2 linked regions of the Oryctolagus cuniculus genome follow. The protein of the gene in region 1 interacts with the protein of each later gene in a pairwise test. Links are inferred from orthologs where the notes say so. Each region holds a gene or a part of one and is shown in the gene's direction. Other genes may lie near its edges.

Region 1 (3,521 bases):
AGGGCTTTAATCCACTGCGCCACAGTGCTGGCCCCAATAAATATAAATATATATAAATTAAAGGAGTGATTGTGTGGTGCCATTTAAAAGAAACAAAGAAAAGCCTATTACAGCATGCCTGTAATTTCCATGGCTGTTTTTCCATAGCTGCACGTGGCTGCAGACAGTGCGTGTGCACATGAAATAGGTGAATGACCATGTAGAGGGGAACCAGGCTGGAGAGAAACATAGGTGGAAATAGTCCACGGGGAAAGGCTGGATGTATTTTGGGGATGCCTTCCGTATACTCCAGGGCACCATTATCAATGCTATTTCCTTTTTGAGAATTTTTTGTTTCTACCAGACAGAAATCGAGTCTTGAGCAGTAAATACTTGCAAAGCAGCTCTACTCCAGATTATTCAAAATTCTTTGGAAGAAATGTACACACCAACCTGTGATCCTCTCACCAGCAATATGGTGAAATATTGAAAATAACAGCATAAGAGAAAAAAAACAACATACAAAATACAAAGAAGTTTAAAAACACATGTTGCTAGTTAAATCCATCTATCTTTTCACTACTTTGCCATATTTCTTTAACGTTATATATTTAGCCACTTGATTTTAAATTATGTTGTGTCCCATTTTGTTCATGTGATATATATTTGAATTGTATGAAAGATTAAGCTAACCACATATATCTTAGAGCTCAGCGTTCTCAGAGAACTAGAATTATTAAACATGAAGAATCCCCCAAAGACTCCATTATGTGTAATTAACAGATAAACTGTCATCAGAATCAATAAAACGTGCTAAATGATTCAAACTTGTATATAATTAAGTGTCTCTTTTAGAGCTAGAGCTGTAACTTTTATTTTTTCCCCACATCTCACATTTCTCACAAGAATAATTGTGGCAACCTTCTTAACCCTTTGTTTGCTTGATTGGATTAATTTTCAAATTTGTCATTTAAGGGCAAGGTTCGCCTTCACAAATGTGAAATATGTGTGAATACTCAATAATCTCAAGACACCATTCGCTTTTCAGCAACAGGGAAGTTGACTGTGCATGCATGCTTTGAAGAATAGTTAGTAGGACATTCAAAATCCTAGAAAGATAAGCATTTTTTTTTCTTTTTTATTGTTTTGGCCTAGTGCTAGATTCACTGTGTTGACACAGACTTCCTAAGGTCTTAGTCTTCAGCATTGTTCCCCTTTAGAAAATATGGGCTTTTTCCAGGCAAGATTAGAATATATTAACATTTTTAGAAACATAATTTTTAAATTTTACCTATTTGAAAGGCAGAGCAACCAGAAGAGAGAGATAAAGAGAAAAACAGATGGAGAGATACTTGGGTACTGGTTCACTACCCAATTTCCACAAAGCCAGAACTGGCCTGGATCAAGTTGAAGCCAGAAGCCATGTCCATGCCATTTAGGTGGCAAGGACTTAACTCCTTGAGCCATTATCTGCTGCCTCCTGGAGTGTGCTTGTAGCCAGAGCTGGATCAGCAGCAGAGGTGGACTGAATACTCAGAATTCAGATATAGGATATGAGCATCCCCAGTGACGGCTTAATCACAATGTCCTCCCCAGTTTACTTATTTTTAATTGATTTTCATTTGAAAGACAGAGAGACACACAAAGGTCTCCCATCTGCTGGTTCACTCCCCAAGTTCTCGCAACAGTTAGGGCTGGGCCAGGCTGAAGCCAGGAGTTCAGAACTTAATCCAAGTCTTGCATGTGGGTGACAGGAACAGAAGTACTTCATTCGTCATATGCTGCCTCCCAGGGTACGCATTAGTAGGAAACTTTCATCAGAAGTGGAGCCCAGACAGAAAACTTAGGCAGTGCAGTGTGGGGTGTGAGGATCTCAGTTGAAACATTAACCACTGCACCAAATGACTGCTCCAAGTTCAGAATTTTAAGCAACTTTATCTCACACAGCACTTAGAATAATACTTTTAATAGATGGCCTTCCATAATTGTTGAGCTGAATGAATAAATTCATGAGTGAGGTAATGAATAAAAGACCCAAGATTATCATCTGTTAACAGAATAGCCTTTTCTTGGCCAGTCTTAGGAGAAAGCACAAGTTTCCAATAATAAGGAATTCCCACCTTCTAAACTAATATTTGAAATTGCTGATGGGGGAAGTTGGAAATGTGAGACTCTGAACTTTGAGAAGTTCAAGAACAATGCTTAACTTTTGTAACTTCCGTCTGCATCGGTTGATGGCGACTAATGTGATTCCTTGCGTTTTCTGCTTCGTTGTACAGACTCCATGCACATAGAAGACGTAGAAGCCGTGCAGAAGCTTCAGGATGTCTTGCACGAGGCCCTGCAGGATTACGAGGCTGGCCAGCACATGGAAGACCCACGCCGAGCCGGCAAGATGCTGATGACGCTGCCGCTGCTCAGGCAGACCTCCACCAAGGCCGTGCAGCACTTCTACAACATCAAACTCGAAGGCAAAGTCCCCATGCACAAACTTTTTTTGGAAATGCTGGAGGCCAAGGTCTGACTAAAAGCTTCCTGGGCCTTCCCATCCTGCACGTCGAAAAAAGGGAAAATAAACCCAAGAGTGATGTCGAAGAAATGTAGAGTTTAGTTAACAACATCAAAAACCAACCAAGACTGCACTGATATTTTAGCAGCAAGACTGTGAAGCAGCCTTCAGACTCCTGCGTCTTCCTGACGATTTCTACTTTTTCGCTCATCTTTTCTCCCTTTCTTTCATTTCTCTTCCTCTCCAGTTTGTTTTCTCCCTGCCTTCTTCCCCCCTCCCTGTTTCTTGGCTTCCTTCATTCGTGGTTTCTTCTTCCCCTCATTTCCTTCCTTCCTTCTTTCTGCTCGCCTGCCCTCCCTCCCCCCTTTCCTTCCTTCCTCCCTCCCTCCCTCCTCTTCCTCTTTTCTCATTTTCCCTTTTTCTTCTAAATTTTAAATGGTTCTAGTTGCAAGAAATATTTCCTTCCTCCCCTCCCCTCCCCTCCCCTCCCCTCCCCTCCCCTCCCCTCTCCTTTCCTCTCCTCTCCTCACTTCTCCTCTCCCCTTCTCTTCCCTGCCTTTCCCCTCCCTCCCTTTCTGTTCCTATCCTTCCTGCTGCTGCTGAACTTTTAGAAGAAGTCTAACAGAGAGTGGTGGAAGCCAGCCCTGCCAAAGGATGGAGATCCATTGTATGGATGCCAGTGACCTTAGCGTGAACCATAGCGTCCCCAATGACTGAGGAATCAAAGCGAGAGAACCAACGCACCTAGAAGTACAGTGCAACACAAACGAATTGACTGATGCAGTATTAGGCTTCACGGGAGCAGCCTCTGATTAGACAACCTCAGCCACGTTGCATCGGCTGCTGCTTATCATTGCTTTTCCATCTAGATCAGTTACAGCCATTTGATTCCTTAATTGTTTTTCAAGTCTTCCAGGTATTTGTTAGTTTAGCTACTATGTAACTTTTTCAGGGAATAGTTTAAGCTTTATTCATTCATGCAATACTAAAGAGAAATAAGAATACTGCAATTTTGTGCTGGCTTTGAACAATT
Region 2 (2,715 bases), on another chromosome or scaffold:
GCAAAAATAAACTCATCTTTTAATTCTATTCCTACAAACTCTCTGGGTTTAAACATAAAGATAAGGAGAATTAGGAAACTGTGGAGCCCACCTGCCATTTCTATTTCTTTACTTTAAAGGTAAGACTCTTTTGCAGAAAAAGCCGCAATTTTGGAGGGTGTGGGCATGGATGGGTGTGGTGTGATAGCAGAGAAAAGTAACGTGGAGGTCACAGATGAAGTTTTCATGAACCATGACTCTGGACCTGGAGGAACTTTGAGTTTCTGGTGGAGTTTCATGCAAGCCTCTTCCTTTCATCAGTGGGATTCAAACAATATAATTGAGTTTCAAGCCTGGATGTTGAGCTGTAGGTAGTAGGAGACATTAATGTGTGGACTGGGTAATCTGATTAGGGTATAGGTTAGACGTGCTGCATTATTTTGCTCTTATTTTATTGATCAGATATTTGCCTGTTAGAAGAGTGCCTCATATCTGTCACCATTAGTTTTTAGAGATCACTGATTGGTTCTGCTACTCTGTGATGATTAGCATAATACTTATAAAATATTATTCTGTTGAACTTTGTAGAAAAAGGGAAGGGAAGTGATTGCAATCATAATTGGCATTATTTAATCCTAATGATAAACTATTACTTACTTGAATACAAATTAAAGAACTTTGGAACGATATTACTGTCATGGAGAATCATAGGGCTTTTAAAAACAGACTCCTCTTACCACCTTCTGTACAAGGATTAATATATATAATACAATATAATAAAATAGTATATTAATATATATCCTTCTTTCCAGGGTTGCATTTTCATTCACTTTACTTAAGTATCCACTTGACTGAAAAGAGGTCATGCATTGTCTATTAAAAAAGTTCTGTTTGAACTGTGTTGTGGTCCGTGATATTCTAGTATTTACTTTTAACCCTCTCAAGACTGGAGGAGAATTATTTCTAAAATCTTTTATTTATATATATATATATATTTAAAAAGCCTTTTGGAACACTCATTAGAAGCACCTCCCCTTTTTATAAGCCCCCCAATACAGAAACCATGATACAATGAACTAAATAGCCAGCATTAGTTTTTAAATTATTTTGGGCCTCTAGATTAATATTGATCTGCAGCAAATAATACAGTGAAACCCAGGAGTCACAGTTTGTGGCCGGGGAGTTTACCACTATTGGTTGAATAATCAGTATCATGGTGGGAAATTTGTGGACGGATGGTAAAATATTTGCAGATGGCAAAACTTATTGTACAGTGGACTGTTTTCCATGGTATAAAGCCCAGTGCTCTCCTCCTGAGATAGCATTATTTTTTTTCATATTTGTATAAAAAGTGAGCTGGCACAATGATTCATTAAAGTATACTCGACTGTCAAATTAGGCGTGCACTTGTTGGCTCACAGCCAGCATTTTTAAATGTGTGTATACAAGCATTGTGGATATTTAATAAGGAAAATCACCTTAATGTTTCATTCTTGGAAGTGTTGTTTCTGGAAACTTACAACTGGTTTGGTATTTTATCTGTGCTCTCAAAAACCCTTGAATCAGGAATCTTGAGCTTTTGTTTAATTGGGAAGAGGCAGAAAGGATAGATTTAAAAATCTAGCAAAGGATTTGTGATGAGCCATTTCTAACAAGGAGATTTTTCTCCCTCCAGACCTGCCAGGCCTGCAGTGCGTGAAGTACATTCAGGGACTTCAGTGGGGAACTCAGCAGATACTCACTGAACACGTCAGGATGACGCACCGAGGGCACCAGGCCAGATTCGCTGAACTGAACAGTGCTCTTTTCCTGCTGAGATTCATCAATGCCAATGTCATTGCTGAACTGTTCTTCAGGCCCATCATTGGCACAGTCAGCATGGATGATATGATGCTGGAGATGCTTTGTGCGAAGTTATGAAGCCATTTAGCCCATACAAGCCAAGTTAACCGTGTAAGAGGTGTGGATAGAAGAATGTCAAATATTGTGAAATAAACTTTCTTATTATTTTTACATGCATAGTATTTTTGTATTCAATTAAAGAAATAGTTTAGTTATAGATGATTAACAAAGCCTCTGTTCTATGATGTTTCATTGTGAAGGAAAACGTTTGTCAACAAGTAACACACTTCTGTACATCTTTAAGAGAAGAGCAGGGTATTCCACTAGTCAGCTATTTCCAAAAGCTTAGTCACTGACTCCAATGTACCTGCTCAAATTGAATTTGTAATATTACATTTTAATAAATTTTAAGGTGTTAACCATTAACATGACTGAAAAGTTTCATTGGGGGCTTAACTAAGACTTCAAAACTTATTAAAACCTAGTCAACATAAGCAAAAAATACCTCTCTAAGTAACATGGCATTTGATGTTATGGCCTGCCAGTGTTGTTAGGAAAAGACTTTGCTCTGTCTTCATTTCCACACCTGTCAGTTACATGGAAGACTGTCTTTGTACCCAAAAGGAGACAAGAAGCAGTGTTGGTTGGAGAGCCTCATAAAAATGAAATATGAGAATTTTTAGTTTTCTTTTGGGATATTTCTATACACCATTATGGAACTGAAATCAAGTTTACGTTCTATAAGGAAGAGTTATAGTTCCAGAACTCAATATAATTATAAACCCCTAATTACCTTTCACCTTTTAGATGTGTTGTCTATGTGACTGTAACTTTGAACAAACATGGCAGAAAATCGTAAAGTGACTTCACTATGGGTTCCTGGTACCTCTTGCA

Evidence for each region.
Region 2: the proteins of ESRRG (region 1) and NR0B1 interact in binary tests that used the Homo sapiens proteins (3 or more experiments, as listed by UniProt). The link is inferred for Oryctolagus cuniculus from reciprocal best matches to the Homo sapiens genes ESRRG and NR0B1.

Annotation. Positions count from the first base shown.
Region 1 is NC_091444.1:30,737,137-30,740,657, reverse strand, and holds part of ESRRG (estrogen-related receptor gamma), read left to right. Parts: intron 1-2,258; coding exon 2,259-2,503; 3' UTR 2,504-3,521. UniProt on the Homo sapiens protein: Orphan receptor that acts as a transcription activator in the absence of bound ligand. Binds specifically to an estrogen response element and activates reporter genes controlled by estrogen response elements.
Region 2 is NC_091453.1:16,770,244-16,772,958, reverse strand, and holds the end of NR0B1 (nuclear receptor subfamily 0 group B member 1), read left to right. Parts: intron 1-1,654; coding exon 1,655-1,899; 3' UTR 1,900-2,215; downstream 2,216-2,715. UniProt on the Homo sapiens protein: Nuclear receptor that lacks a DNA-binding domain and acts as a corepressor that inhibits the transcriptional activity of other nuclear receptors through heterodimeric interactions.